Astyanax mexicanus: one gene and its partner. The protein of the gene in region 1 interacts with the protein of each later gene in a pairwise test. Links are inferred from orthologs where the notes say so. Each region holds a gene or a part of one and is shown on either strand. Other genes may lie near its edges.

Region 1 (17,364 bases):
ACCTGGAGGTGCTGAACAATAATTTGTTTACTATGTAATTCCATATGTGTCCTTTGTTGATGTTTTTAATATAAATCCACAATGTAGAAAATAAATGTAGTTAAAAAAAAATTAAGAAAGACGAATGAATGATAAGGTGTGTCCAATCTGTTGACTGGTACTGGTACTGTATGTGATATTTTATTGATGTATCCAACCATCAGCTTTCATGTGAATATTGTAAGTTTTGTTCATAAAGTTAAGTGAGCATTGCTGTATGAAGGCTGTTGCAGACCAAATCTACACTCTCTGAGTCCAAGTCATGTGATTTAGGTCCCCACCTCTGGGTAAGAGTCTCACTGAGTCACCACTCCCAGCTGGAGGGGTGTAAAACTCCGCACTTACATAAGGAGCTCCATCCAATACCTTTAGGTTGAGTTGGAGTGGTGTTTGTGATTCAGAAGTGAATATCCAACATCCGATAAGTAGCTTATCTTAGATAATGATAATGACTTGTGGCCTAATGCTATCAAATGCCTCACAGCCATGTTAAAACGTGAAGCGTAACAAAGGAAAATAGATGTCAGTCGTACTTGGTTATCAGAATTCATATAATGTCTGAACAAACTGAAGCAGTATCATTATTACTAGACTTCATATAGCTTAACTGTCCCTTTCCTAGCTGTGTGGTCCCTGTGGACCCTCTGATGGGCAGGCCGAGTGCCCCAGTACATTACGAGGATGGACGATGCATCAGATATGCCAGCAACTTCCTGTGACTGCAGGAAAAAATCTTTAGTGATTGGATAACGAGCTGCGTGATCGGACTGAGCGGCCATTCCTGTGTACAGCCGAGTGACTACACTGCACCCATAAAACAGAAGAGCAGTAATTGGATAAGGCTGTAATAATTTGGCTCTAATTCATTCTTTGACTGAAGCGAGGAGGAGCCACGTTCCCATTGAGCGACATACGATAGTTCAGAAGCACGGCTTTGAATGTGTGCATTAATGACATCACCGGCTGACCTGTGACCCCATTACAGCCAGTGTCCTACCATTCCCAAGTGGGGTAAGGTTACAGGGAGATAAGGAAAGACCCTCCTGGTCTCAATGCACCCAGACAGAGCGCCCTCTGGAGGGGATAAACCCCAGAGACCGTGTCTGTCTTGTTCAAACGCATTCATCAATAAAGGTATAAAACCCCATCTGAAGGGTGGAGTTTTGACTGCATTAATTTTAAAACACCAGAACTGAGTCAAATAAATACCAATAACATTCAATGAAACATTTCCTTATGTTTTATAGCTTAAATTGATTTTTATGTTCATATTATAATTACAGTGTAAAAGTTTCTCCACTTACTTGAGCTTTCCAACCTATTAAAGATTTAAAATTTAAAGTGAATATGTAAATACACTTTATTGCCAAAAGCATCTGCCTTCCTGCCTGGAGTTTGGTGATGTGCGGCATGGCTGGAGCTGCTCTCCATGGAAACCCATTCCATGAAGCTCTAAACACTGTTCTTCAGCTAATCTGGAGGCCACAAGTTTGGAGGTCTGTGGTGATTGACTGCAGAAAGTTGTTGACCTCTACACACTATGCTCCTCAGTTTCTGCTAACCCCACTCTGTCATGATACAAATTAGTGTTCTAAAGTAATTTTAAAAAATGTATCTTAATGTATCGACATGCTCTGTGATTAATTAACCAAAATTCATCACTTTTTCGCGTAAGAAGGTATTTAAAACTGTGCAATTCAAATTGATTTTAGCTAAGGAGCAAAAGAATAAATGAATGACTGGCATAGACTTAAAAGAACAAATGAACATCAGTTAGTAGCAGACACTGTAAATAATGTCTTTTTTATAGTTTGATGCACATGTATTATTTATTATATTATTATTTATTTAAAAATTAAACTGATTAATATGATCTGACTTTTATTATGAAGACCAAAATGTTGGATAAGCCATAATAGCTATTGACTAACTGACGATGTCAACTCTTGAGCTGAATTAATTGCAATTTTTTGATAACAGATGGATGTCACTATGCTGATTACATTAGTAGCTTCTGTGTTTTGTCAAGATATGTGGATTATGGGACTTGCACTTACACTTACAACACAGGAATGAAGTTTGTGGCTCAATGCTAGCTAACAGCCAAATCAGCAGTAAGGGTTGGAGCGTGCTGATTCCAATGCTAACTGTTTCCAAGATTAATTAATCACTGATTTTTTTAATATCAGTATTATGTCTCTGGGCTAGATAGGTTCTGCTGTTTTATACAATATGTTTATGATGTCTGTACATAATCTGGTCTTTACTTATGAGTCGTTAATCAGCATAATTTTTTGTTGTTGTTGACAGCACTAATTCAAATAATAACAATTCATATTTTTTCATTATTTTAATAACTGCTTCTAACCTCACTCCTGAGCCTTTACAAACATCCACCTACTCAGCATATAACAGCCTAGCTCCACCCATTCACACTGATGCTATAAGGAGTGTTACAGCCAGATCTGGCTTTAAAGGATGCACAATTAAAAATATAAAAAAAGGGCCAATTCGAATAGTGCTCATTTCTACTTAGGTCTACATTAAAATCTAATTCTAAGTTGAAAAGTCTTTATAGAGATTGTGAGAAAGAGGTCATGTAAGAATGAACTGGCCACGGGGTCCACTAACACAGCACTCCCGCAGTGTCTGCACATTCTTTACTGCAGGATCAGGATGAACGATGGCTCTGGGCAGATCGGATACTGATCAGAATCGAGAGGCAGTGCGGCCTGTAGAGCAGCGGGATCAATACCAGCCGTCTCAGCGCGGGGGTGTGTGAGCGCGCCGGGCCGATAGTGGACTGAAGAGAGATTAATTTGCAGTGAGAGGATTTCTCCCGAAAATGAAACAGGAGGTCATTCAGAGGGAATCTGATTAAAGGCATGATTAACTCACGTCTTTGGCAAACAGAATAAAGTAACGGCAATCGTTGTTTAGGGCTGTAAAGAAAATAGCCTTTTTCCTCCAGAGGACAAGACCACACCTACGCCTGCCTGAGCAGCAGGACAACTTCCATTTATTTTGTGTTTACAGCAGGTTTACTCCTCTAATTTTGTTTCCCAGAATCGGCTGCAAAGAAAACTCTCCGTGGTGCTAAAATTAATGGGGTGGGAGAGATTACTCAATTAAACACAAACATAAACAAGTTACCAGTTTGATGAATTGGCCGTTAGCATGATGATGCAGATTTGAAACCTGCATTATTTAGAACTGGGTAAGAAATTTAATCTGACGGACACATTCATTCAAGACGTTATTGTTTCTCTAATTTGTTTTTCTAAAATTTTCAAGTTTCAAATAATGCTTTTAGCTCTCTAACACTTTCATTTTACTGAGAATTTTCAATGCAGAGTACATTTACACAGTGGCACTTTTGCTTATGTAAAGGCTGTGAACACTGCCAACAAGCAAAATAACAAGCTGTAATTAAAAAACATGATAGTCAATTTAAATACAATTTAGAATTCTATTTATTATCATTATTCTGTTAGCACTTTAGAAAAAATGAAAAATACCATAAAACTGTGAACAGTCAGTTTTTAAGGTTAAAACTCTAAAGAAGTAAAAACCTGTAAGAATCTGAAACAATTTGACAAGCAACAAAAAGTGAGGCTAGACAGTTGGGTCAGATAATCTCCATAATATCAGGTGAACCAGCAGTTGTGTTTTAGGTACCTAAAACTCATGTATGCACCCAACTTTACAGCTTACAAGCTAACATTGTTTTGACAGATAACACAAGACACCTTCAACAGTAGAGTCCAGGGGGCCTATTTTAGCGATCTATAGCGCACCGGTCAATTCTGCATCATGCAGCTTGATTTAGGGCGCCGTGTCTCTTCGGTATTGTGAAGACGAAAAAAAGACACCTTGTGCAGCTCAAAATGCATGTACTCATTCTCTTAATTATGGGTGTGTTTTGGGCGCAATGTGAAATAAACCAATCAGTGTATCACTTGTCATTTCCTTTAAGATGCAGATGAGCTCTGACTTTGGCGCGTTTGAATCTTTATAGCACGGCGCTTTGTGCGTCTCAGCAGAGAATACTGAACTGTGTTTTCACACTGTGAGTTCACACTGTGAAGGTAAGCCAGCAGCTTATTTACTTAAATCTGTTCATTGTAGAGTTAAAAGTCAGGTTTACGCTTTGTAGTGCGTCAATGTGTGTTTACATGGCACACCTATGGGAATAGACTCTGATGGTTGACAGTTGTCTAGATTTATTTCAGTCAGTGGAGCACCTGTGTTTTTCGATGCCAAAATAGAAATACGCCAGAAAATTACCTAAACACACCCCACTTCCAGACCACCATGCAAATTAGTAAGCAAGGCTCCAAAACAGACTGTTGACAGGGTGTAAGGTAGCATAGAGCCCCAGGTGGTTGTTGTTAGCACTGTATCCTAATACATTATGCAGTATTTTGCAGATTTAAACATGGAATTTGATCTACAGATAAAACTTGAGCAGTACTGTGTATAGAACTTATTTAATGAGACAGATAGATAGAAGTGACAACAAGCAGTATATATTACTGCTTTTACTTCTACTGATGTACAGGGCAGCCATCTTGGATTCCTAACTCAGGGTTGGTGGAGCTTTTATCATTTTGATAATTGGAAGTCCGTCTTGGAACTAGAAAATTCTGACATGGGAGTTCAAATGGAATGCAGCCTTACATAATCAAAAGTGACAGTGACTACAAAATAACAATAATGTTTATTGATTCAGTTCATCTTCACAGACTATGCCAAACATTTCATATTTCACCAGCACTCCTAAAAAATAAAAGGTGCTACAAAAGGGTTCAAGTGATGCCATAGAAGAAACATTTAGTTCATTTTAGTTCTATAAAGATTTTAATGTACATTTCTGCAAGAGATGTGAGTGTAAAGAAGCTGATTTAGGTTTGAATAAGTTATGGTCACTCGCATCACTCAAATTTGTCTCTTGTGAGTGTGTTTAAGACTGCTTGTGCTGTCAAGTGTGGCTGTGTATCAGGGCCTGTATCAACATGACTGGTTAGCATGCTGGCTAATGTAGCAAGCTCATCTGCTACTTTCATTAACACTTTAATTTTCTGCAAATTGTCCCTGTATTTGTGCAAAAATGCATCATATAAACGGGCAAAGAAGAATCAGCTGTGCTGAGCCTCTCCGTCATGTTCAAAACCGCTCTGCTCAGAATATGAATGAAATATTGGAGAAACAAAATGTTCACAGAGCAGAATCTGGGGACCCTCAGGTAAAAACACTTAAACACACACAAAAAAAATCATAAACCTTCCTATAAGAAATGACGTTGTGGCCTGCTCTGTGGCCTGCCAGTGTTAAATCAGGGTTAAAGTTCTTTACCAAATCATTTTACTTTATATTTTACATTCATATATTTTCAAAAAATGGTTAATCTCACTGGAGATGCACAAATTAGTAGCAAGGAACAGGCCCACGTCTCTACCAACACACCACCTCACCAAGGTTTTGTCAAAAAAAAAAAAAATATTTTGCTGAGCCTTGAATAACAATTTTGTAGCACCTTTAGTTTTAAGATTAAAGTATTAACATACAGTATAGCAATACATGACATTTTTTGTCCCAGAATTCCAACAACACTATATAAACTGAAGTCCATGTCCAGAGAAATGCGCTTTCCCTTCCGGGCTGCTGCTCACAGATTTATCTGATCATATGTGACATGCCTCCAGTCCATATGTCCATGCCAGCACACGTCCTTTAGTGAAGCACATCAACGCTTAGGTGCATCTGTTCTTACACAGTTTTCTCTCATCCTTTCGCCACGATCTCCCCCTCTTTCTGTACACTCACTGCACCATCTGCCGTTTCCTCCTCTACCTCCATCACCAGCGCCTTCAACGAATCTCTGTGCAGTCTCTCATTCCTCTCAGTCTCCTGCACTGAAGGGGGAGCTGTGGCCACCAAAGCCGGAGAGAGATGCTTAAACTCTTCCTCGTTAATGTCATAGTCCTTCATCTTCTGGTGCAGTACCCACCAGCGTCCAGCGAAGCCCACGTCCAGCATGCGCCCGGGCAGCTCTGCCCAGGGCACAGACAGAGCCGAGCACTGAGCCTCGTACAGGCTGCTCTCAGGGTCGTAGCTCACCACGTAGGTCACCGAGGCCACGCCCAGACTAAGGTAGCGCAGTCGACCTTCATTACGCAGCCTCACCAGGTTCTGCACGTGACCATCTGACATCCCGCTTCGTATCCATGGTGACAGAAGGGCCAGTTTATTGGAGGTTTCTAGCAGATCAGTCTGGAAGGACGTGTCATCTGGATTTGTTCGATAACAGAAATACGCCCCCCCCAGCAGGACCGCGTAAGCTGAGGCTTTAAAGGGACGCTCCCGTGCTCCAACAACCACCTCCCGGCAGGCCTCCTTGTAGTCACCCAAAAGACTACGGCACCACACACCTGCAAAAAGGACATTTTAACTGGTTTTACTGGAATAGGATTTTATAATAGCAAAACATATGAAAACCAAAAATATTGATTTTTAATGGTTAATTAACATGTCTACTTTTAATACTCCTACCAAAGTAGAGTGTAGAGTAGAGGGCAAAACCTTTACTAAACTCTACTAGATATCTGCAGTTTCTGCAGCAGTGCACAATATGAACATAAATGCAACATACGATGACACCGTATCCCAAAATGAATGTGGAACACAATAAATTAAGAACATAAATTAGCTCTTTAAATGTTTTTAAAAATGTTACTTTTATTTTATTTTGTAGTAGTTTGGTGTGTGCTCTACCACTAGTGGAGCTCTACTCTGCCTCTAGTCTAGTTAGGTCATGTAAGCACAGTCTGCAGTGTGAATAGCTCCCTCTGTGGATGTGGAGGGTTTGAGAATTCAGTGTGAACTTAATTATTAAATGTGTTATTTTCTTTCTGTCAGCCATAGCTGAAAATCATACATCTCATTTTTACATTCCATTACATTACTGTTGTATTTTTCTACTAACACAATGTCTTCTATTGTTTGGACTTTTTTCGACCCAGTGGAATTAAACTAAACAGGAATGATAGTAAAGTGAATTAAACCCGATATAGAATACCATATTCTGCAATTGTTCTTCAGTAAGAGCAGGATGTGACACTAAGTGGATCTTTTTGCCTGATTTTATTAGATGGCATTTTTGATACATCTTACTGATCCTCTCTCCTGGTTTTGAATGTGCTATAAGCTGTAAGGTGCCACTTCTTTTAAAATTTACAAGTAAAATAATTTGTTAATATCTATTAATCTATCCATATATCTTCGATATTAAATTTACAATGTAAAAAAAAGAATGAAAGAAGTGTGTCTTTCATGTGTCTAATAACCTAAAAGACCTTGGTAATGGAGATGCAAGAGCGTTTGTGTTAAGAGGAGAACATATATTTCAGTTTTGACCTACAGTTAGTGTTAAACATGTGTTTATTCTCACCATTTGGGCATAATTAATATAAAATTAAATTAAGGATCAGAGTTTCTACTGAATTATATTATGTTATTATTATATATATTAATTAACTGATTCTACTGTCGGGCAGTAGACTGCTTCTCCTCTCCAGTTCTGCAGTAGATCAGCAGCTGCTGATCGGGTTAATAATAAAGAGTATATTTAATCTGTATGTCTCGGTAGGTAAAGCGCTCACCCACGCGGCCGCTCTTCAGCCTCTCCCACCGGCTGCCCTTGCCCTGAGCCTCCGCTGCGGTGGAGCAGAGCCTCCTGAAAACACACGAGGCAGCCATGACAGTCCGAACACACGCTGATCAGCGGCTCAGTGCTCTCAACTCAACCGGAACCGATACCGCCGGCTCTGTTTCCACACGGCCCCCCCACACAACACGCCCACTGGCGAAACCACTGAGCCGAAATGGCGCAGGCTCGGTCAAAGAACCTGTAGACCACTTTAAAACCTCTTTATGTCAGACCACCAGAGGGCGCTCCCGAGTCCTAAATGAATAGGTTCAGATTGTAAATGTTTGCTAAATTTTTAAACCGAAAAATGTGATTAGTTCCTCAACATATCAAATGTTAATGCCAAATACAAACTTTTAAAGTCCACTTGGAAACATTTAAAACATGTGCTGGCTGTTACTTCAGCACTTCTGTAGCAGTGATGCTACCAAATCTGTTGTTCAAATTACGAAATTACGAAATTTAAGCAATATCCTGGACACGTAGTTAATGATCGTTTTTACCGAGTTTTTAACCATTCAACCCCCCTCCCTTTATTTATGGCTCACTCGCAGGCTCCCTCTAGCGGTTATCCCTTATTTTCTGATAACGGAGGAGAGCGGAAGTAGATAGGCTTGCTCTAAACCAGCTCTGGCGTGGTTTGGAGTTGGTGGTCCGATAGGGGGACCATATCAACGGTTTTTACGTTCCACTCTGATTTTTCTCTGTCAGTTTTTTTCTTCCTTTTTTAAAAATTAGGTTTTAATTTTGCGATCAGGGGATATGGATTTTAAAGTATAGGTGTAAAGGATTGTATCTCCTTTTTGCTAGCATTACTGTTACTGTGTGCTAACTGATTGGTGTGCTAACACTGGATTTACAAAGCACATTTAGTCAAAGCACATTTAAAAGGCTTATAAATTAAGTTTAAAAGCTTGAAACATTTTATATAGTTATGTGTTAATATATATGCGTATATGTATACGATTTACTCGCGAGCGTCCTCTGGTGGACTGTCAAATCCAGAAGAGATTAATAAGTGGGTATTCTCCTCTGTATAAGCTCTCTGCTACAAAAACAGTTAACTTACAGATTTCTGATTCTGAACACAGAACAAAACATTTTAAAAACTTAAAACCCGTCGTAATCTGCCACAGATACACAATGTGCCGTTTCCGTGGTTTTCATGCTTTATTAATAATTCGACTTAAGATTATTTTAGTAAAAAAAAAAAGTACAATAATTAGATTTATTATATTTTAGTCAATATAAAAAAAAATATTATAAAAAATATTTAACTATTAAATCTGCTAAATAACTAGTTAAAATGCTTAGATTTAAAATAAAATCGCGTTTGGTATTTAATTATTTGTTTTTTAAGGTTCCGGCTTGGCTCCGGTCACGTGACCTTATTTTGACACACGCAGGAACTCTGTCGCTGGGAGGGTGACGTGGAGCACGGCGGGATAAACCCACAGCTGCGTGAGATTTCACTGAATTAACTGAGTTGTTTTGTACCCGACTTTAACCCGGTCGTGGCGGTTCAGAGGCGGCGGCTGTAGCGCTGTCTGAGTCCCGGCAGCAGCGCTGTCACTGCTGAGGAGCCTGGTGACCGTTAGTGAAGAGCAGAGGCAGCGTTAATGGTGGGAGAGCTGATGCAGCACTGACTGACCGCTGGTAAGAGGAGGCTAACCGCCTCACAACTAACCCGACTAACCGCTTCATCACCCCGACACGAGCTCATTACCTTCCCCTGTTCCTCACCTTCTGTCAGTTCCACCTTAAACCTGCAGCAGCTGCGGGTCCTGACTGGGGTCTGCAGTGTGTTGATTCAGCTGTTCTTAAACACGCAGAGCTTGGCAGTAGCTTTTCTTATCAAATTAAACAGCTAGTTAGTGTTACAACTGTGAGCTACTAATATACCCTTTCCACCTTAAGTGCTTTAGCAGTTACACTGTTTTAAGTTGGAACAGAATATTTAGATAAAGAAATTAGAAGATAAGCTAAACATGTACTGTAATTAACTAACATCTGATATTTGGTAGCTGAACACATTCATTTTGAACAACTACCACATTTAGTATGATAAGAAAAAATATAACACTGCAGTATGTTATTGTTTTGATATGTACTGTATGTTGTGATATTAAACATCGATTTTTCCTAAAATCAGTGATTTAACATCTTATGATACTAACAGTGTTCTCTCTGTATCAAATATTGGAAAAAAAATAAATGTATTGGCGTTTATTACTTTATTTTTTATGTTTAAGTTATTTATTTTTTGTACCAAGGAAGTTCTAGCATCTCCTGTATGGTTTAATTTGCTTTACATGACACTGCATGTGACATACAATGTGACGATTGTGCATGTGCACACTGTTATGATTATACTAAAACAATATATTATGCAATAATATGCCTTGGATGACCACTTAACAGCACATATTTATTTGTGTGTAGTTCACAATATAATTGCCATTTTTATTTGTTCAGAAGTTAAATGTTTTGAGCAGTCTGTGAGCCTCCAGTAAAGTTGTATGCAGTAGTTCTACCGGTCTTACTAATAAATGTGTTTATAGTTTGACATTTAAAAAATTATTTAGATTTTTATGCCGAAACATTTATAGTGACCTTGTTGGTGTTCTTGTGATATGTTTCTTTTTTCTTCAGTCATTTCTGTGATCTACCATGGCGAGTCCTGACGATTTGAGATTTCAAGGTTGGTACTTCTGTTCAGTAAGTAAACTGTTCAGATGTTCTTGCATGTCTCCTCCTTCCTCACTCTTTTACCTTTTGTAAACCAATGCAGAATTCGAGGAGGCCACAGATTTACTGGCCGCTGACCCCGGTGCCTCCACGCTCAGTATCACCAACTCCAGCACTACTGCACCTGCAGGGGATGTTAAGCTGGACCTGTCAGATGATGAGGAGAATCAGCAGGAGAGCTCAGAGGTGCTTTTATCAACTTAATGCATATTTACAGGAAAGCATGGTGCAGACACTCTCTCTTTTTTTTATTATTATTTTTTTTATTACATATTTTCCACAAGTAGGCAAGCCTTGCAAGTGTCTTGCCCAAGGATGCCAAAAGGTGCAATGTAATATAGGGCTAAAATGCTCAAATTGGATCTTTCATCAATTTACAATTTAGCCTTGGCTTATGGTGCCCCTTAAAAAAAGATGAACCCTTCACTAATTGGCTGGTTTACATCGCCGAGACATCTCAAGTGAGCCATGTAGAATAGCTTTGTTTTAGCACTGTAACACAAACAGGCATACCAGAAAATGTTGCAATCATCTCTGTGTGCTTTCAGTGTCTTTTCGGCACATTGTGGGGTTACAAAGCTGAGAAATTTGTAGCCTGGCAAGTGGGGATAAAATTAACCCTTTAAGCCTAATTTCTAAACTCTCTGCCCTTTGGGCGAGCCCTTTTCTAAGGTTAAGAAACAGTTCAGAAATTTGTTCAATGCATATCTCGGTTTTGGCTCAACTGGATTTTCTTTTTAAGGAGGAACAACAGTGTTTGGGGTTTACAGTTTGTCACTTCCTTGTTCTGAACTATTATTTAACTTCGGCAAGATAAAACCTGTTTTCTGCTCTAGTTCCCCCTTTACCTGCCTTTATCTCACTGTGAGCTGGTTTACTTATTTACTAAAGGTGCTGCATTACAGCCAGGTACAGGGCACATTAATAAGGCAAATGTAAATTCTGTAACTGCTACATAGAACCTTGTGACCAGTATTAACTAGTGTGAAAATTTGTATATATGTGTTTGCTTAGAGGGCTGCTGAACTCAAATTCATTTAACTACAGAATAATAATAATCTTTTCTCTTTTCTGTATGTGCCCTATTCTCCTTTGTCTTTGCAGAAATCAAGAATTACTACATTTAATACTTCTTAATAGTTGTTCTGACAGGAACTAATGTTGTGTCTGAACACCTGTTTTGTTCTTTACTTGCAGTTGCTTGGAGGTGAAAAACAAAGTGGGGGCTTCTGGACGTTTGAATACTATCAGTCTTTCTTCAATGTTGACACAATGCAGGTATGGAGTTCTTTAGGAGTATATTAATGTGTATTATCAATACAAGCCTTCTGTATACACTGACATGCCAAAAGTCATAGGATAGCAGTATGTTGTGTTACCTCAGAAGAACAGCTTGGGAACACCTAACGCCTGACCTGAGCGTGGGAGCCAGACGGATTTTTAAACAGTCCTCGATCCACATTGTCCTGTGTTTATTAAGAATACTTTATAGAAGACTTTATCACCCACTGTACACCAGTGGCATCTGTGCAAACAGACAAAAATTAGCAGGAATTACATCCACATTTAATGCCACAGTACAGGGAAATGAATACAAATGCCCCTTAAATTTTTTTATTTATTTAATAAATAAAAAGAATTAGCATTTTATTTTACTTCAGAATGACTTGCTATCACCTTAAATTTATACCAGAAGTTGAAATATGCTAGATTTGATCATGTAAACCACACAATAAATAAAATTTAATTAAATTTAACTTAATTTGAATTTATATAACATTTATGTTTGTGACCTATTGTAAATGCTTTCAATGATGGATAAATAATCACTACAGAAGTACAATCAATATAAGTTTCATTATATTGATCAATAACATGGATTTAAATGACAGACAGTAAATTAGCTATTGGTACTGTATGGCTAAGTGTGTTCCTGCGTGGTGCCAATTTTGTCTTTATTGATGTATCTGAAAAAGATCAGTCAATCATGTCATGCTCTTGTTTGATTTTAGGTGTTGGATAGAATTAAAGCCTCAGTTATGCCTTTGCCAGGCCGGAATTTCGTCAAACATCACATTAGAAACAACCCAGATTTATATGGTAAGGAACAATAATGTACACTCACTGAACACTTTATTAAAAACATTATACTTTTAGAATCTTCTTTCTTACAAACATTCTGCAGGTCACCCATTCTGCCACACTAAAGGTGTTCTGTTGGATTCAGATCTGATTATTGGAATCCCACTGCAGATTATCTCAGTTAATCGGGCATCAATAATTGTGCCACACTAAAAAATCACATATCACATTTTCACCCATTCTGATTCTGAAGCTGCTGATCAATGTCTGCATGATGTTAAGGTTTTTGCATTATTGTAAAGTTGCACAGTTCCTTATAAAGTGTTCAGTCAAAACACATTTTAGCAGATATTGTAAATAATATTTTAAAACAAGCATCAATTGCACAGGAATGTCATTATTTTCTTGATTTCCAGGGCCTTTTTGGATATGCGCAACACTAGTGTTTTCCGTGGCCATCAGTGGAAACCTCTCTACATTTCTGAGTGAAATGGGTAACCCTCGTTACCACTACAGGCCCCACTTCCACAGAGGTAAGCAAGAATTCAGATGCAAAGGAATAATAAGCAGAATTATTTAGATCCCATGCTTCTTTCAGAATACCTGAGAACAGATTATACTTTTAAAGTCTATGTGAACAAACCTGTAATTTTTAATTGATCTCAAAAAAAGAAAAGATGTGGAATATGGAATGAGATTAGAAATAGTGAGTTGTTAGAGGTGTTAGGAGAGTAAGTGCCCTTTGAAGAGCTCTGTCTTCAGGAGTTTTTTTTTTTTCCTAATTTTTCTCATTTTCTCCCCAATTTACACAGTCAATTACCCAACCCACTCATTAGGACCCTATCAGTAGTAATGCCCCAACACACCAGGAGGGTGAAGACCAACACATGCTTCCTCTGATACATGTGAAGTTAGCCACCTCTTCTTTTCGAGCTGCTGCTGATGCAGCATTGCTGAGCAGCCAGCGCGCTTGAAGGACAGCGCAGAGACTCGGTTCTGATACATCTGCAGACATTACCCTAGGAGTGATGTGGGGAGAGAGCGCTATCTACCCACCCCGAGGGAGCAGGGCCAATTTTGCTCCCTCTGAGCACTGGCAGCTTGACCTCCCGCTCATAGTGGCAGTGTTTCAGACCGCTGGACCACTCATCGCCCCATTCAGGAGTTTTTTTAAGTTAGTGAGGGATGCTCCTGATCTGGAAGTCGAAGGTAGTTTGTTCCACCATTGGGGAACTGTGTATAAAAATAGTCTGGATTGCTTTGTGTGAATGTTTGGCAAAGCTAGGAAACATTCACTGGAGGAGTGCAGCAGGCGGGAGGAAACATAAAGACTTTAGGAGCAGGTGCAAGTAGGAGGGAACAGCTCTGTCATCACCTTGTAGGCAACCCTATGAGTTTACATAGTTTAAAATGATTAATTTTGTTTTCTGACAGTGACTGTTGCGGCTGTGGCTGTGTTCCTCTATGCATGGCTGGTACCACTGGGCGTGTGGGGCTTCATGACCTGGCGACAGAACGCTGAGAGACAGACCAGTGCCTATTCATTTCTGGAGACAGTGTGTGTCTACGGATACTCTCTGTTCATTTATATTCCTACCTCAGTAAGTATGATATAAGTAAATATAGATATAATCATTAAATCAATCAGGTATATGATTGAGGTAAGTAAGGTTTGAATTGAATAAAATAAAATTCAATTTTAGCCTGTTTGAATATGGCTTGACAGAGTGTGATGTAGTTGTAGTTGAAAGTTTGCGTAATTGTTATGGCAATATTGGAATTTCTTTTACATTATACAACTTTCAATAGAAAAACAAATAGAATCTGGTTCACAATAACATATATTCAGGTGATAAATAAATTAATACAACAAATGCTCTCTGCTTAATTAATCTAAATTAAGCACATTTAACCTAATCAAAGTAAGATCAAGGTAAAATAGTCCAAATTAAATAAAATATAGAATGGTCATTGACATTTTTGTATGTTTTAATAATATGCCATATGACTTTTATTATAAAGCCCAAAATGGCAGATTAGCCATTATTTCAGATCACCTCTAAAATAATGATCAAAATGGATCTATGTATATTTGTAACCATGTATGTTTAACTTTCACTTCCCCAAAATAAAAACCAGATTCTAATTAAGATTTATGTTGTACATTCTGCTGCAGAAAAACAACTCAAATCATACTGTACATAGCATATATGGTGTAAATAATGTACATGCTATGTATACTAATAATGTGGATACTCAGCTTAGAAAGCTTAAACAGTAAGCCCTTCATAAACTGTACCAACATTACATATTAATATGTATCAACAGTGAACAGAACACTGACTTTCTCTCTGCTTCTGTTTTAAAGATATTATGGATCATTCCTTTTGGATGGCTTCAGTGGCTCTTGATCCTGGTTGCCATGGTGATCTCGGGATCAGTGTTGGTCATCACCTTCTGGCCGGTTGTGCGGGATGACACCAAGACGACAGCTTTTGTCTCCATGGCAGCCATAGTGTTGCTCCATGCACTGCTGGCCATCGGTTGCAAGGTAACTCACTACAACTTTACACAAATCAAATAAATGCCCGTAGCTGTATCAAATCGGTTATTTTTGCTGTTTCCTCACAAATTCTAATTAGCCAAATTTAGCCTCTTCAGTTTAAACGGAAACTGTGAGGCCACTTATATGTTAAGGAGGAAAAAAATGGGCAAAAGAAATAAACAACAGCAATGAGTGAGGTTTTTAGTGGCAGTAAACCTCATAAATGTCTCACAACTGCTCCATGTTAAAATATGTATAAAAAAAGAAAAAAGGGTCAAATGTGTTTACAGGATGGCCCATCTGGAGTGTCAAAAAAAAAAAAAAAAAAAAAAAAAAAAAAAAATATATATATATATATATATATATATATATATATATATATATATATATATATATATATATATATATATATATATATATATATATATATGCATTGTTCTTTTGCACACATGGTTATGATGCATGAACTACTACAAAAGTTAGATGTGATGAAAAAATATGCACTTGATGTACTGCTGTGTAAACATAGACTTAGTCTTCATTTTGTAACAATTTTTTTTCTCCTCTTTTTTAGATGTATTTCTTCCAAACAGCAGAACCGATAGCAGTACTGCCCGACTCCACAGTGACTCCTGCTCCACTAAATCACACAGCATTAACGAGTAAAGCTCACTGACCTGCAGCATATGGGCATGTGGAGTGAATGATTAGAAGAACAATGTACAGAAATCATAATGACCGAATTGTCAGATTAGCACCTTTTTTTGATTAGTGCTTGGGTGTTACTCATCTATTATAAAAACTTGAGTTTCCCGTCTTTGGGTGAATATGCAGATGAAACAATACAGCTTGGGGCAGGTTGTAGACCAGGGTGTTTCATCAGTGTTTGAAACAAAACGGTTCTGTGATGTTCTTAATTGGTAAAAGTATCTTTACAGACCTTCTACATTTGACCCTTCATTTACATTTAGTCAACAGACTAAAACAGTGATACTGCGTGGGCCGAGGATTGCGAGTCTGAATCCCGGGTGATGCCACCTTAACATCAGCAGCCAGAGCCAGAGAGAGCATTATTGCGCTCTTTTCTGTCATTACCCCAGTTGTGTTGTTGGCTAGCACAGCAAATGTTGAATGCATCAGTGGTGGAAATGCAACTTAAATTGTCTTTAATTTAATAAAAAATAGGGGTAAAAATAATAAGAACTGTTTAGGATATTGGACTGTGGTGGTCTTCAGAAGAATTCTCCCTGCTGCTCTTGAGCTTCTTTTATATTCTGCACTTTTTTCAGCTACACTGAAGTTGTGGGTTGCTTCTTGACAATATATTTTTTGATAATTCTGCACAGGATTGCTGCAGAACGTCAACATTTTACGTTAAACGTAATCTGATGAGTGATGAAGTGTGAAATGCTGTGATATTACCATCTGCTCGACCACTCCTTCAGCCTGACTTGTGAAGATCATGTTAAATTTCTGTATTATTTATTTGTATTTTTCTGTTTGTGATCATTCTTCTGTTTAGTTATTCCATAATGAACATACATAGTCATTCCTCTCTGCATTGTGAGTGTGTGTGTGTGTGGTGTGTGTAATTGTAATTGTATTACAACTGGAATTCCAATTAAAGGGCTTGCAGGGGATACGCAAAAGTGAGAATACCAGCTGTATTGAGTGAAGTCAGATTTGCTACTGTATCATCTGATGTAACCCCACCCTCCATGAGGGGGGAGGAGAAAAATTAATAAATAAATAATACATTTCTGTTTTTTTTTTTTTTTATATATATATATATTGTCTGCTGTAACTTAACAGAACTGACCTCAGCTATGTGTAACATTAGGGTTAATTAGGGCCTCCATCTGCCCTTTAAACTGCCTCAATTTTCTGTGGTATTATTTTCAAAAGAGGTTAAAACGTTTCTTGGAGATTTTGATCTGCGTTAACAGGATTTTTTTTTCAGGTACACTGTTCATTATGGGAATCTCCTACATTTTACTACATTCCAAAGGTGTTTTAGTGAATTCACATCTGGTGACTGTGAAAGGCCACTTAACAACACTGGACTCATTGTCATGTTCACAAAACCAACTTGAGCTGTTTTGCGCTGTAGTGCATCCTCATGCTGGAAGTAGTTAATAGAAGAAGGGTCAGCTGTGGTCATAAGGGGATACACATGGTCAGCAACAATACTTAAATAGATTATAGCATTTTAAAGAGTCTACAGTGGGAAGGGAACATGCCT
Region 2 (16,885 bases), on another chromosome or scaffold:
GCAGTTTTAGGACGTTCTAAGGGTGAAAAAGTGTTTCATGAGGTAGAAAGTCAAACATTTAAAAAACAAATTTCTAAAGTATTAAAGTTGTGGTACCCCCATTTTATAGTGTGGAGGAACACTGACTGTGTCCCAAACAGAGGTGGCAGAAGTGCGTAAGTGAACCTAGTTAAATAACCAGGGATTAAGCAGTTAGAGGAGTCCAAGGGTAAAAAATGTGTTTCTTGGGGTAGAAAGTCAAAAATAAACATGAAATAAACAAAACCTTAAAGCTGTGGTACCTCTGTTTTCTAGTGTACAGGAACACTGGCTACTGGCTGTGTCCCAAACAGAGGTGGCACAAATACACAAGTGCACCTAGTTAAAAGTAAAAAATAATCATGAAATAAAAAACTTGAACTATAAAATAAACTTGAACTTGTAATAAAGTATTAAAGTTGTGGTACATCTGTTTTCAAGTGTGGTGGAACACTGGTTGTGTCCAGAACAGGGGAGTAAGAAGTGCTCAAGCGCATCTAGTGAACCGACCAGGGATTAAGCAGTTTTAGGGCTTTCTTAGGGTGAAAAGGTGAATTTAGGGTGAAAAGGTGAAAGGGGAGAATGCTATATTTTAATTCTTAAATTCCATTTAATTGTTTACCCATGAAGTGACCAAGTATAAAAAGGTCTTATTGACTTTTTTATATATATATATATATATATACGTATATATATATATATATATATATATATATATATATATATACGTATATATATATATATATATATACGTATATATATATATATATATATATATACGTATATATATATATATACATATATATACGTATATATATATATATATATATATATATATATATATATATATATATATATATACGTATATATATATATATATACGTATATATATATATATATACGTATATATATATATATATATATATACGTATATATATATATATATATATATACGTATATATATATATATATATACGTATATATATATATATATACGTATATATATATATATATATATATATATATACGTATATATATATATACATACTTATACACAAACCTATCAATGAGCTCTATGGGCGTGGTTTAAAACCTTCTTGTTGGTGTAAGTTTACAGGTTCTTATTTACTAGTATAGAGAATGATCTATATGTAAAAGCTATATTCTTGTCCTTTAGGATGAGCCCAAGCTCACTGTGGACTTACTTAAAGTTATATGTAAGGTGAGGGGATGGAAAGCTGCTGGATAAATGCTTGCTTAAGGTTACTTTCTGCTGGGTAGTACATCTGTATTTATGAATGCTAAATAACAGGTTGCAACTGTACGAATAACCTGTAATTCCAAGCAGGAAAACATCTTTGAATATATAATTGCTACACTACGCTACTCTAATTTTGCATCCACTGTTACATAACAGGCTTATGATGCAATGTCTGACCAGTTGTTACAGATCTGGCCTCCCTCTTGTGGAAGCTTCTGAAAGGGCCATTTAAAACCCATGAGAAAGTTAAGAGGTCAGAGGCCATTCTGAAGTAGAAAGAAATGAACACATTATCAGATGAGTTCCCAGTTTTGTCCTTAAAAAATCTGAAAAGTTTAAAAGTTTAAAAGACTGAAAGTTCCAATTTTGCATAAGATGATTTATGGCATAAATGGATATGTGGACGCAAAGCATTCCTTTTAATCAAGCTGATCACTAATAGTTTTTATATATATATATATTTTTTGTATATATTCTTCTAGACTTATCATTTGCCTACATTCTGTTTAATAATTATTCCAAATTTTTATGTATGATTTTCCCCGTTCTAATTTGCTTAAGTTTTAGTGGTCTGTTGTTTGTCTACTGATCAGATATTTTATTTTTTAAGTATTAGGTTTAACCAATTTGTTTTAATTGTATGTATTTTGTTTATATCATTTATATATGTTTTTTTTTACTTTGTTCTGTATAGCACTTTATAGTTGATGTTTAAAATGTGTTTTTATGTATTATTTCTAAACTTTTTAATGCTTTGTATGCTTTATACACCTGTAACTGGGCATGGTGCTAATAGGTTCATGTTTATATACATATATTTAGCTGTTAGTGTCTTCCACTGAATCAGTATCGACTTTGTCTCCGTTGATAGAAACTCAACTGTGGTCTATTTGTCTACTGTGTTCATCGCTGGAAATCACAGTATGTAATGTTCTCCGAACCAGTAGAATAAGGGTATGGACAAGTATTTCCAGTTTCTATTTAACATCTAGTTTATCTAATTGATGACCCAGTGCTCTTACCACTGATCCAGCACTGAATCATAGCAGACACTGTTTAATACAATGTTTAACAGAAAAACAATGACCCTACTGAAATTAAAAGTTTGGGTTTATGTAACAAATAGTCAAAAAGTTTGGACACACAGTTTTACTCTATGTTTTGCTGTTGTACATTGTAAATGTAGGAAAACCCAGACTATAAAGCAACGCATAAGGAATGTAGAAACTTAAAAGTGTTAAACAAACCAAAAAATACTCTGTGAAGCATTTAGGTGCTCTCATCTGGGGAGCTGTATACCTGTGGTTTCTGAGGCTGGTGACTCTGATGAACTTATCCTGTGCAAAAAAGGTAACTCTTGCGCTTCCTTTCCTGGGGCAGTGCTGATGAGAGCCAGTTTCATCATAAACTTTTTTTATGGTCTTTTTGACTGCACTTGAGGACACTTTCAAAGTTTTTGATATGTTTCAGATTGACTGACCTTCATTTCTTAAAGTATTTTTTTCTTCACTTAGTTGAGAAGTTCTTGCTTCTCATAATCTGGATTAGAATTACTCAAATATATCTATTCACTGTATACCTGTAACTCTACCTCTTCACTACTTTACAGCTGATGCTCTCAAACACTTTATTAAGAGACAAGAAATTCAAGAAGAAAATCTCTTGACAAGTTCAGCACAGCTGTTAACTGAAAGCTTGAATTCCAGGTGACTCTACCTCATAAAGCTGACTGAGAAAATCCATCCAAGATGTGCAAAACTGTCAACTGAGCAAGAGGTGCTACTTTGAAGAATGTAAAATATAAAACATATTTTGGATTGTTTAACACTTTTTTGTTTATTAAACAATTCCATTTGTTTTGTAGAATTTGTAGAATTAATCTACAATGCAGCACATGTGGTGTCAGATGTGCATGATGTTATCTAGATGGCTATGTTAAGTATTTAGAATACTTCATCGTTGTCTATCTACTGCATAACACCATAAAGGTGGGAATGTGTGGGCAGGTACATAAGGATCAATGGAACAACCTATGATATAGGGTGCGCAGTTACACACAGGGTACACTTACGCTATGGCGTTGGTTCAATACAGAAGAATAAATTGACCTTACAGCTGCCACACAGTCTGTGTTTTTGCCACTCAGTGGGCAAAACTACAGTGACTCCCCCATTTGTAATGTCATGTGCATTGCATCTATTGCTTTAATCCTGTGTGTGGGCACTAGGGGAGCTATATTTAAAAGAGACTAAAGAAGGTAAAAGGAGAACTCTGGTATAAAATGGACTTTTGGTGTAGAAAAACATGATGAAGAGTACTAACCTTTGATGATATATAACACATATGATAAATAATATAGACATACATATACAGGCTCGGCATAGCCTGCTTCTGTTATTTTCGTATGAAGCTGAAGCTAGCGTTATGAGATGTAAACAGTGTTTTTTTAATAAGCTTCTTGTGCACTTTTTAAGTTATTAATGCCTCGTTTTAAATGTCAGGGCTGTCCGGATTCTAGCAAGGAGGTGTGGAGCTACTTTGAGCTGGATAATGGTGGAAAAAACTATTTCTCAGGGCAAATTATGCCCCTTGTCACCCAGTCTGAAGGGTGTTCTGACAAACTTTTAACATTTCTAGATCTCGGACCGCTGATAAAGATAAGTACTTTTTATTATGTTTTAATACACCAAAAGTCCATTTTACACCAGTTCTCATTTAAACCACAGAGTCTACACAGTGTTGGTATAGGAAGTGAGAACCCACTCTTATGCTCTAGGCCTCATCCTAGACCTGACCAAAAGAGCACACTAACGCCAGTGTGGCAAAAACAGTACACCCCCCCTCAACCCTATCATGAGTACCCCACATTACACACCACCCAAACACACACTCTCAGTCACATGACCCACCCCCAGTGCATTTTCTCACATCACAGCTGCTCATCTGTTCTCAATACCAAAACACCATTTCCTCACGCATAACATCACAGAGAGTGCTGATGGGTCCAGCTTAGCGTCAGGACAAGCGTGATGAGTAACGACAGGGGGTCAATCACTCTCACTGTCCCCTCTGTAAAAACAATAAACCCCAACAGACAATCCAGCCCCATGCATTCACTCACCACCTTTACCACCTCGCAAAGTAAAAGCAGCTGATATTCTTATAGCCCTGAAGACGTTTTCTTTTAACAGAGAACTATAATGACTGCAGTTTAAAATATATAAAAATAGCTGTTATGTATTACAATATAGTGTGTTTAATGTATAATAAAGGTGTAATACCACTATTCTTTGTCCTGCCTTAATCTGCTTTCATTTAATAGACAATTATTTGTACATATACAACTAATATTGTAGGCTTGAATACTGTAAAACAGCTAAATTAAAGTACCATAGCTTTACAGTACTAGACTAATATTTTACATTCATATAAAAGCCAGCTAAAACATCCCTTTTTTCATATTGCATTTTTAAAATAGTTTTTCATCTTTTGTATACCTTATCTACTTTTATACTTCAATGCAATTTAAGGTTTTTTTGCAAATGATATTAAGCCTGTAAGTAGAGGTGACAGCAAACCCCAATTTATAGTTAAGTAGTGCTTATTTTACTTCCTTTTAATCATATTTTTTAAAACATTATTTTAATATATTGTTCCTCAGTATGACCCAGCACGATGCAAATTTTACAAACCTGTACAAAACTGTTCAGCCGTTTTAGAAGTAAAAGTATCCTTGTATGAGCAGTACATGTTTATTTATTCAGAAAAACTAAATAAGTATTTAAAACACAGGGTGTATTTCAAAAAATATTGATATCTTTCTAACTAATGAATATATTTTTTCTTTAACCCCTAACCCCCCCCCCCTCCCAAAAATGAAATATAAAGACTTACAAATTTAGTATTTCAGAAAATTATAATATTTTATAAGACCACTTGGTACATTTGGCAGTGTGGGCAGTGTGCCAAGTCCTGCTGGAAAATGAAATCTCCATAAAAGTTGTCAGTAGCAGAGGGAAGCATGAAGTGCTGTAAGATTTTCTGGGAAAACAAAACTACACTGACTTTGGACTTGATAATAAAACACAGTGGATCAACACCAGCAGATGTCATGTCTCCCCAAACCATCAGTAATTGAGCATTAGTAATTTTTGCATTTCATTTGGAAATCAAGGGAGCAGAGTCTGGAGGAAGAGTGGAGAGACACACAGTCCAAACTGCTTGAGGTCTAGTATGAAGTTTCCACAATCAGTGTTGGTTTGAAGAGCCATGTCAAGCGGACAACTATTATGGAGATGTGGATTTCATTTTCCAGCAGGAATTGGCACACTGCCCACACTGCCAAAAGTTCCAACTGGTCTTATATTATATTCTAATTTGAGTTTTTATGTTATTTTTTGATTATCAACAATAAAATAAATAAACGTTTAAAATAGATCACTCTGTGTTTAATGCATCTAATATATGAGTTTTCTCATTTTTAGCTAAATTACTGAAATAAAGTAACTTTTAAAGATATTTTATTTTTTTTAGATGCACTAGTATATATGTGCACCTCTGCTGTTGCTGAATTCAGCATTTCAGACATAATTCGTAATGTTGCGTGTTTACATGTGGGAATAGAAAACGAGCTCCGGCAAATCGTACGCTCACTGCTCCCTACGCTAGAAGGGTAATGCTGCAGACCGGAGCCCCCAGTGGGCGTGGCTTAAGGGCGGAGCATGTGTCAATCATTTTCGACTGCAGCCAATCAGATACTACACTTTCGTTGTCAATCACTTTTTATTAAGCCAATCCTCAGACAGACTTAGCTGTCCATCATTTTTTACTGCAGCCAATCACCTTAACAGATCTGTCAAAAGAAGGCGGAAACTGCATTGCTACCGGTTGAACGTAGCGCGATTTAAGCTTCTGAACAGCGGTGAAGCTGAATGTGTATAAGTATTTTACAAAATACTATATTAACAGTTTAAACAGTTTTTCTGGAACAGTTTTTCTGGAATGGCACTTTCGTGTTTTTTAATCGTGTATATGTATGTGTATATATATATATATATATGTGTGTATATATATATATATATATATATATATATATATATATATATATATATATATATATATATATATATATATATATATATATATATATACACACACACACACACACACATACATATACACGATTAAAAAACACGAAAGTGCCATTCCAGAAAAACGAGTATTTTAATCTTTGATTTAAAAATATCTAAAGTCAGGGCTTTTCTAACGTTTTCATTCAGTTACTTCTGTTTAAGAGCGGCATATAGGCAGGACTAACTACAGTAGCACATACATGTTTTTAAACTGTTAATATAGTATTTTGTAAAATACTTACACACATTCAGCTTCACCGCTGTTCAGAAGCTTAAATCGCGCTACGTTCAACCGGTAGCAATGCAGTTTCCGCCTTCTTTTGACAGATCTGTTAAGGTGATTGGCTGCAGTAAAAAATGATGGACAGCTTGGTCTGTCTGAGGATTGGCTTAATAAAAAGTGATTGACAACGAAAGTGTAGTCGAAAATGATTGACACATGCTCCGCCGTTTAGCCACGCCCACTGGGGCTCCGGTCTGCAGCATTACATAGATGCCCTACGCAGACTTTCTCCAATCGGATTGGTCGTTCTGTTAAAGACGCAACGCCGTACTGCCACTTGATTGGTTATCCTCGCGTGACGTATGCGAGTGCGTTTTCCGGGGTTCCACTTGATGCAATCGTGCTGAAATTGATGCGCCGCGGTTTGGTGCTTTAACCGGAGGACGGAGGGTTAGGTGATCTACAGCAGTTGGTGTGTGCGGCGGAGACAGGGGGATTTATTGGATGAAACGGTTAAGGTAGGTTAATAACATTATTTAGATTGTAAATCAGCTTATTTTAGAGCCAGAAGTAAGTTATAAAGTTAGTAAACTACGGTCGCTAGCTTGGCTAACCCTCTAGCTAACCCTTGCTAATAACAGTGGCGCTGAGGAGTTAAGGCTGTATTATCAGGCGCTGGTCTGTAGTCTGTCACTGCTGGAGGATTATTGGATTTTAGACCTTTATTTGCTTTAAATTGAGCTGTTTTTGAGGTTTATCAATAACATTTTGTTCATTTGCCAGTTATCTAATGATAATAATAGTTTATCTCTTACTCTGAATTCTGTGATTTCTATTTCGACTGGAATCTTTGCTTACTTAAAGGAAATTAAATGTTTTCAGGTACTTTTTCTTTAAATAATTAAAGTTACATTATTTCTTTCAATTGGGTTGAGATAGTTGATAAAAATACACTATTTATTTATAATGTCTTGTAGTTTTATTTTGACATTGTTCTGTGTTATGTCTTATATTCCAATTTTATTCATTTTAATTCTGTTATAAATAAATACATATTATTTCCCTTTCATTTCTAATTTCTTATAACTTTCCTAAACTTGTATTGACTCTTATCTTTATATAGCACTTTAAATTGCATCTGTGAATGAAAGGTGCTATACAAATAAGAAATTTGATAATTTTATTAGAAAGATATTGTGTCTTAAATCTATTCCTTTAGTAACCTTTAACCCTTTCAGACCTGAATTAACGATCTCAAGTAATGGGAAAATAATGTAAGAATGCTGTTTTCGGTCTGTAATGCATAGAAAAGAAGACTCCAATATTCTACTACAAAATATACATAGCAAATAAATCCAAATAATTAAAAGATTTAATAGCTTTTTATTTACACTGCCTCTTTCCAAAGATTTGTTTATTCAGACTTTAATTATATACACATCTTGCCAAACAACATTTTTGATAATGCATCAGTTACTTAATGAAAATCGTAGTTGTGGTGCATGTGTTTTCTGTAAAGGAGCAATGTTGATCTTACAGTATAAACTATTTTTATATCAGCATTGGAAAGATAAGGTTATGTGTGCAGGTTTTTTTTATATAAAAAATATAGTGCTGTAGTTTAAGAAATACATAAATGTCTCTTAATGCTGATAAAATCTTATATATATAGTTTTACAGGATTACCAAGCTTAAATCTTTGCTTTACACTAATAGTAGACACTACAGGAGTGAGAAATGTGGTTTGTTTGGATTAAGACTTGTCCCTTTTTAGTTCGTTTTGCATTAACAGTATTGATAGTTTTATAATAGATTTTGCACAATGTCTAGCCATGTAGTTGTAAGCATTCTAAATTTACATTTTACACACTGTAAACTTTAATCTTTTAATCTGCTGATCCTGTTTTCTTACAAAAGCCAAAATCAGATAAATGTGATCCATGCTTTACAACTTTCTTTGTATTTATTTATTGTAATTATTTATTCATTAGGCATTTGGCTACATGTCTTAGTTATAAGAAATAAACAATGACCGATGTGTATGATGGATTTATCTTTGCTAAAAGTGTTTTTTAAGATGTATATTCAATTTATATGTATTTTTTTATCTTGCATGACCTTAATTGTTATGTGTTGTCTGTGTAAAAGTAATTTGTATCTTAAAATATTTCTAGAGCTACAGAGTTTATTGAGTTATCTTTTTCTTCTCAGGTGTTTTTCAGCCCACCCTTGCAGCTCACAATCGCCCTTTTGAGGAACATCATGGCTAGTGCCTCTCCTCCTCCAGCATCGGGCTCCTCACCCACCGACACTACAGCCACCGGCTCCAGTGGCCAAGCATCAGGAGAAAGCAGCAGCCAGGACAGCACGTTTGAATGTAACATCTGCTTGGACACTTCCAAGGATGCAGTAATAAGCTTGTGTGGACACCTCTTCTGGTAAGAGGCCATTATCTTATTGAATGATATTAATCTCAGTAATAATTATTATTGTCATTTGCTTCTTCATAACTGAATTAATATTGTCTTTGTATGTTTTTTTTTCTGCTGCTGGCTCACAGTTGGCCCTGCTTGCATCAGGTACGTTGTCTTCTTTCCATCTTGAAACCTGATCTGCCATGTTTTGTCTGTGCCCCCGTTCTAATGCATATTAATCTTTTGGAGGCTTTTCACTGTCCCTAATTACCCACATCAATTTCCTCTCTTTACAGTGGTTGGAAACAAGGCCAAATAGACAGGTGTGTCCAGTATGTAAAGCAGGCATCAGCCGAGACAAGGTCATCCCACTGTATGGGCGAGGCAGCACCGGCCAGCAGGACCCGAGGTTAATCATCATTTCATTTCACACAATTGAGACCTTTGGCCTGGTTCACATGAAATTAACCATTAATATATATATATGACATTTTATCTCAATGTAAAACATTAACTGACAGTAGGTCTGTCACAATAGTACATTTTGACAATATACTGTGCTAGAAATAATTGCAATACACAATTTTATGGTCATTTCATGCCACTGATATAATAATAATCAAAAAGCATAATCCATTTTCACATTATTTTTTTAAAGAGCAGTGAGCTTTTAATTATAATTTTTTTGACATTGAAATTGGAATATAAAAAGGTATAAATATCCTCATTGTGTAAAACATAAAAAAACCCACTGTTTTAAGGAAAGTCAATATACAAGCTTATTCATGGTAATGGGACTTCTTGTATAGTAAAAACAATAGGCAATACTCAGGTCAGCCTAAACTATTGATCATATGTTCATATATTGGTCTAGTTACTATGAATCAGTCATTTTGCATAACAATAACATTATGAATAATTATAATGTATTCTGTAATGCACAAAAACAGCCCTCACTTCCAGATTAACAAAAGTTCAAATATGTATTAAATGAGTATAAAAAAGTGAAGCATGTTGTTGGCACGAACCAAATCGCAGTAATTGTTGAAACTCATTATTTTTCTTCCTCTGGGATTTCAGAGAGAGAACTCCTCCCAGACCACAGGGGCAGAGACCGGAGCCTGAGAACCGTGGGGTAAGTAACTGCACCATTTTACTCTAATTAACCTGATATGCTCGCTCTGGGCTAAAACAAAACAAAACAAAAAAACAGGTTTAACATTAAGCACTTAATTATTTCATCATCTAAAGTCAGACTGAGCTGCAGCCGCCATGTTTATTTATTAAACCCTCAGCAATCAGACACGTATGACAGGGTGGAATCACTGATTGGCGAGTTATATGTGGAGTCACACAGATATATATGCAACACCGAATGCCACATTGCACTAGCCATGTGTGATGAAACTATTACGTGACGGTAGGAAGGTACTGTATTGCCAGCATGCAAGTAATTCATTAGTAAACGAATCGCTCCCAAAGGGACTTATTAAGAGGCACCTCCAAAGAGAGAAGTGGAAAAGAGCTTTTTTGCGCCCCTCTCAGGTAATGACAACACCTGGCATTTGAGATTGCATCACGCGCTTTAGCTCCTTTTGTCCTAAACACTTTTATGAACAAGCTGTTGATGAGTTTATGGATTTATGAGTTGGAGTGCTTGTATTTATTATAATACGCTATTAAATTATTAGCTGCCACAGTATTATCAAACATAAAATAGAGGCTAAGGTCTTAAAGATATTCGATTTTTTTAAATAAGTGCATCATTATTAAATCTTCTTCATTAAGCTAAAAGCATTGTTGTGGGTTGCAGGGATTTCAAGGATTTGGCTTTGGAGATGGCGGCTTCCAGATGTCCTTTGGTATTGGAGCGTTTCCTTTTGGCATTTTTGCTACAGCGTTCAACATCAATGATGGAAGGCCACCTGCAGGTATGTGCCCACAAATATATAAAGCACTAAACTCTGAGCAAACCTTGTTCTTTGTTATAGCAAAGATTAATGTGCACGCTGTGAACATTAATATCATGGCAATATTAGGCTTTAGTGATTTCTTTCTGGGGAAGAATGAGTGAGAGCCTACATCTTTAATTAAAAAGCAACAAAAATGTTGCCCTTTCATTATTTTTTTACAAAAGCTTCTCTGAGAAGGTAACACAAATTGTTCATAAGAGTATTTCTAAATTCTCCAAAACGTCTAAGGATGTTCTCAAATATTCTCTTAAGGATATCATATTTTTTAAAGGTATGTTTTATATACTTATTATAGTGATGGCCATTGATAATATGGTCTTTTAAGCTGCATTTCACAGTTTAAAGACCATGAAAAATGAACTTTTCAGTATTTAGAGTCCCTGCAAGTCTCTACAGTGGAGAGCAAATTAAAGGAAAAGCAGAAGTAAAATTAGTAAACAAGGAGTAACCAGAAGTATTTTTGTATGTAGACCGTAAGAGTGCTTTAGGAACAATCTCCACTTAAACATTTTTCCATATAAGATATGAACTCCTTCATGACTTCTATTATTTATGCTGTGTCTGATATGCTCATGCCAGAACATCACACGAGGAATAGAGTCTATAAATGCAGAACTATATAGTGTCCTATATGTTCAATGAATGTAGAATGGCAGAGTCAATACATAAGTTTTAAGTGAAAATCATTTTTTAGCCTAGAAGGGAAAATGTATCTCAGGCATCACGTAACATATTTTAGCTTTAATTAAACTCCCTCTCAGAATGCCTGCGTTTAAAATAATAGTGTAATAGTGTAAAATAAGAATAAGAATTAGAAGTTCAGGGGAACTGTGGAAGTCGAGGTGAACAGGCGGAAGTTGAGAGTAGAGGGGCAGTGGAAGGGGGCACTGGGGGGACCCACCCCCAGTTTTTATCATGGAGACGGTGGGCGCACGCTCCCAAGAGAGGGTGCTTTTCATGGCGGGGGTGTTGAATTCAGCGTGAGTAATGACATAAGTGTGACTTAGGCACGGATTGTTTAAACTCAGTGTGAGTGCAGGCCAGCGGGGGAGTGGGGAGGGTGCAGAACCGTGCTTAGTATGAGTACACTCTTAGAAACTGGGCTTGGTTGATGTATTTATATTAAATTAAACCCGTCTCATCTCTGTTCACTCTCCAGCTGCTCCTGGTACCCCTCAGCACATGGATGAACAGTTCCTGTCCCGCCTCTTCCTGTTTGTGGCGCTGGTCATCATGTTTTGGCTTCTGATTGCATGAAAACGGTTATGAACTCATGACTGGACGCACGGTGACCGGCGCTGGTGTTACAGACAGTGATTATGGAGGTGGTCTGAAGTTTCTGTGGAGGAAATACTTTCACTTTTCTCTCGGCCGTCAGATTCGGCTGATTTTAAATGAAATGTGTTCAGACACGTGGATTCTTTCGTGTGAAGGAGATGAATCGTGTGTCTGTGATTGCATGACTGTGGTCAGTTCAGTACAGAAAACTGTAAAAAATGTGATTTAATGGAATTTTACTGTTAATCTCTCCTCTTGTTGGCTTTTCCTCTCAGATTGTAATTTTAAATAAAACCCAGAGTCTTATTTGTCTTAAGATGCTTTGTTTACGTTATTTCTTTAGTTGTTTGAAGTGGCAAAGGCTTTTAATGACTTTAGCTATGTTCACATGTATAGGGATATATTAAAGAGAATATTATATACAGTGGAAAAAAAAGTTCAGGAATCTCTGTTTTGTAAAAAGAAGAATGGTCCAAAATTCCTTCAACCAGAAGCCAGACTCTCTTTGGAAGATATAGGAAGCGTTTAAAGGCTGTTATTACTGCAAAAGGAGGATCTACTAAATATTTTTGTCATTTTTTGTTGGGGTGTCCAAATTTATGCACCTGTCTAATTTTGAGTACAGAATTATTTCATGCTTTCTAAAAATAAATTTTAAATATCACTGTCTTCAGCTGCTATATGATATATATTTAACTGAAATGACTGATCTGAACAAACAGTGATTTATAAAGGAAAATCATGAACAATATCAGGGGTACCCAAACTACTAATGTACTTTAATTTATAGAGAGTTAGCATCCATCCAGTACTTCTGGGAGGAGTCAGGGAGTTGTGGAGGTGTGATTGAGGTGGGGTGGTGAAGAATATCCAGCATCCTGACCTCACTCTAACTCTCCTGTAATTGGACACAATCAAATCCTCACAGCAATGCTTTAAAATCTAGTAGAAATGTCTTCTCTGGAGAGTAGAGACAGTTACTACAACAAAAGCAGGATATTTCGTTTTTTATATTTTATTATCCTTGATTTCTGAAGAAACTATAAATGAGCATGCGTTTGAAACAGTGGAGTATAAATATGGTAGTTATTGGAAGTTCAGGGGAACTGTGGAAGTCGAGACGTGATCAGCTCTGTTACTTTTTGCTGTAAATTATTTTCGTTTTTTTAACAGAGCGTTTCACACCAGACCCACTCTGAAAAGTTTTTTCTTTTCACATCGTAATTATGTAACTTAAATTTCATATTTAATTTTTTAAGAAGAAATGCACAGTCCTGACCCACTGCTGTAAAGAGGAAAACTGCTGTACAGAGGTTTGATTCCTCGGATGTAATCTGAGAACTCTCTTATAAAATCTTAATGATATTCACTGTGGGATTGAGTTTCAGACTAACACTGCCTCTCAGTCTCTCTCTCTCTCTCTCTCTCTCTCTCTCACACACACACACACACACACACACATTATATCCTTTAGAGTAACTAAGGGAGGACCTAAAGCAAGAAGAAGCAGCTTCACCACCTCTACAGGGCCTGGTCCAAGGAAATGTTTTAAAAATGTTTAAGGGAGTCAAACCATGAGGAAATTAGGTTATTTAATTTCTATGATTCTAGTTTTGTTTAGCATTCAATTTTAACACAATGCATACGACTAAACTTGAATAAAAAGAACAAAAATAAAATGTAATATAATTTAAAAAGTGAAAAAGGTAAAACCGGAGATACAATGTTTTTGCAAACACTAACGCTGTGTCAGTATGTGTGTAAATATAAGGTGTCCTCTATTAGTCTAAAATGATACGCTGCTAATTTAATGAATGAAATTATATAGATTATATAGAAATTGAATAAGAAAGTCTTAACAGGTTTTTCACAGCAGTGCCGATCTAATAAACGACCAGCAGAGGGCGTCAAAAACATCAGTCCATATGCGTATAGGAATAAATACATAATACTGTAATTTTAATTTGTATATTTAATTTTTTATTTCTAAATTAGTAAAGCTTGTCAGATTGATGAATCGGCATAACCAGTCTGTTTATGATGCTCTGATCTATAAAAAATTACATATATAAGCATTTGTTAGAATTTATGTCATTCTTTAATCTTACAAACCTCATAATTGCAGGATCACAATTAAACAGCGTGTAACTATGTAATTACTATCAGTTAAATTTGATTAATGTTTGAAGCTAAACTCGAAAATAGAAAACTGGGTCTTCATTTTTTAGTTTTCCCATTTATTAGCTATAGTAAAGAAGAAATGTTTTTCAATTTCCCCAATTTCCTGTTTACTATTTTCGCCTTTTGCAAACAGAATTTCAGGAAATAATGCAACTTTTGTTACAAGATACAAAAATGGGGGAAAAAAGGAAAAAAGAAAACAGAAAACCGAGGAAATAATTTCCCTAAAATTCTTATTCTGAGATGCAGAAATAAAAAATCAAGGAAAAATAGAAAAATTATTGAAAACACAATATGCACAGCTAATAAAGTTTTACACCCTACTTGTGTATTTTTTCATTTAACCTCTAACAAAGGTTATATTCGTTAGAATATACATTAATATGTTTATTTTAATTTAGAGATACAGGAAACTTCACAGTAGTAAGCTCATAAAAATACATCAATAGACTCAAACATTACATTTTATTTTATTTTTTTAACTTCGCATTTTAACAAGGCTAGGATTTATTGTACATAACTAATAAGCTCGTCCTCATATTGAGCACAATTCAGCACCATTTAGATTTTCTGCCAGAATAAAACACGCTCACTGAATCCGCCGCAGTGACGATCTACGCCGCGGCCAGCAGAGGGCGCTTCAAAGACCATGCAGCGTTCAAGTGACCCTAAGCTGAGTGTGTCAAACAGTTGTGGAGAAAACAGGAAAGTGCTTTATTTTGTACAAAATGTTCAGAATTAATTACAAAAATCTTAATTGTTTTGTCACATATTGTACGTTGATATTGATTAAATATTTCATTCAGTTTTTAATAAATAATAATGTGTAAAAATCCATAAAATCCGGTTTTTAGAATTTTAGGACTAAGTACAGGGCGGCAAAACACTACAAATGAGTGACCCGCAGAGAGCGCCAAAAGCACCATGTGCCCTTTAACTTAAAGCTCATTAAAATAAATGAACATTTAAAACATTACTATATATTTTAGGTTAACGTGCAATGTTGGCGAATTAACAAAGCTGAAATTAATTCTACAGAACATACACAACCTGATCAACTAAATTCTGAACGAAATTCAAAAAAGGTTTTGAAGTTTCTGCTCAAATAAAACACGGAATCTTGCGCCCGACCAGCAGAGGGCGCGAGAGAGACCATGCTCCCTTCAGGAGACCAGTGTGTCTAACTGTTGTGGAGAATACATGACGGGGCTTTGTTTTGTAAAAAAAATAAATAAAATGTTGAGAATAATATAATAAGATTGTATTTACTAGTCAAATAATTTATTGTGACTTTTCCTTTTTTGTATTTATTAATAACCAATAATAATGTGTTAAAATCTATAAAGTTCCGTTTTTAAAAATAACATCTAAGCCGCAGGACAATTCATAAGTGTGTCCAGCAGAGGGCGCCAAAGCACTGTCCCAAAATCTCCTGATCGTAGATACACGAATAGAATCAGGTCTTTACCATATATACCATGAAAGTTTTCTTGCCAAGTTGTCAATTTACCAAAACTAAAATTAATTTCACACATCAATGCTTTCAAGCTCTACCTCGCCCTGAATATAAGTCAGCATAATGTTTATTTACGGCTAAAATAAAACTTTTGTGAAGAACACAGAACAGCAGGGAAGATCTTTGCCGCGGCCAGCAAAGGGCACCAGAGAGGCCATGCAGCGTTCAGGAGACCCGCAGCTGAGTGTGTTGAACTGTTGTGGAGAATAGAACACGGTGCTTTGTTTTGTACAAAATGTTGAGGATAAAGTAATAGGATTGCATGTACTGGTCAAATACTTTATTGTGACCTTACCTTTTTTATCAAGTAATAATAATAATGTGTTAAAATCTATAAAGTTCTGTTCTTAAAAAGACCAACTGAGCCGCAGGAAAATTCACAAGAGTGTCCAGCATAGGCTCAGGTCTTTACCACATAATTAAAGTTTTCTCGTCAAGTTGTCCATTTAACTATAATAAATTCTACACATCAATGCTATCAAGCTCTACCTCGACCTGAGCATAAATTAGTATCATTTTAATTTACAGCTATAATAAAACTATTGTAAAGAAACCGAACAGTGGTTTGTTTTGTTGAGTGTAAATGAATAAGATCTTAATTGCCTTCCCGAAGTTTTATTTTAATATTAAGTAAATCTCTTGAACAGTTTATTTTTTTAATAAATAATAAAACATGGGGACGGTGAATCTATATCAGTGTCAATCTTTGCCGCGGCCAGCAGACGGCACTAGAGAGCCCATGCAACGTTCAGGACAACCTAAGCTAAGGGTGTCGAACTGTTGTAAAGAAAACAGTACAGTGCTTTATACGTTTTCCTGTAAACTAATTATTTAGCAAAGCTATAACTGATTTAATACAATGCTAAAGCTCATCACGAACGCAATTCAG

The links.
Region 2: the proteins of yipf2 (region 1) and rnf185 interact in binary tests that used the Homo sapiens proteins (3 or more experiments, as listed by UniProt). The two-hybrid records come from large-scale screens. The link is inferred for Astyanax mexicanus from reciprocal best matches to the Homo sapiens genes YIPF2 and RNF185.

Annotation. Positions count from the first base shown.
Region 1 is NC_064426.1:9,765,972-9,783,335, reverse strand, and holds yipf2 (protein YIPF2), read left to right. Parts: upstream 1-9,150; 5' UTR 9,151-9,403; intron 9,404-10,399; 5' UTR 10,400-10,417; coding exon 10,418-10,448; intron 10,449-10,538; coding exon 10,539-10,681; intron 10,682-11,692; coding exon 11,693-11,773; intron 11,774-12,507; coding exon 12,508-12,595; intron 12,596-12,993; coding exon 12,994-13,110; intron 13,111-14,011; coding exon 14,012-14,178; intron 14,179-14,945; coding exon 14,946-15,128; intron 15,129-15,696; coding exon 15,697-15,798; 3' UTR 15,799-16,883; downstream 16,884-17,364. Other genes in the region: timm29 (mitochondrial import inner membrane translocase subunit Tim29), read right to left, coding at 5,824-6,470, 7,701-7,797.
Region 2 is NC_064408.1:8,586,759-8,603,643, reverse strand, and holds rnf185 (E3 ubiquitin-protein ligase RNF185), read left to right. Parts: upstream 1-7,002; 5' UTR 7,003-7,152; intron 7,153-8,845; 5' UTR 8,846-8,896; coding exon 8,897-9,072; intron 9,073-9,194; coding exon 9,195-9,213; intron 9,214-9,344; coding exon 9,345-9,457; intron 9,458-10,128; coding exon 10,129-10,183; intron 10,184-10,861; coding exon 10,862-10,979; intron 10,980-12,180; coding exon 12,181-12,278; 3' UTR 12,279-12,615; downstream 12,616-16,885. UniProt on the Homo sapiens protein: E3 ubiquitin-protein ligase that regulates selective mitochondrial autophagy by mediating 'Lys-63'-linked polyubiquitination of BNIP1.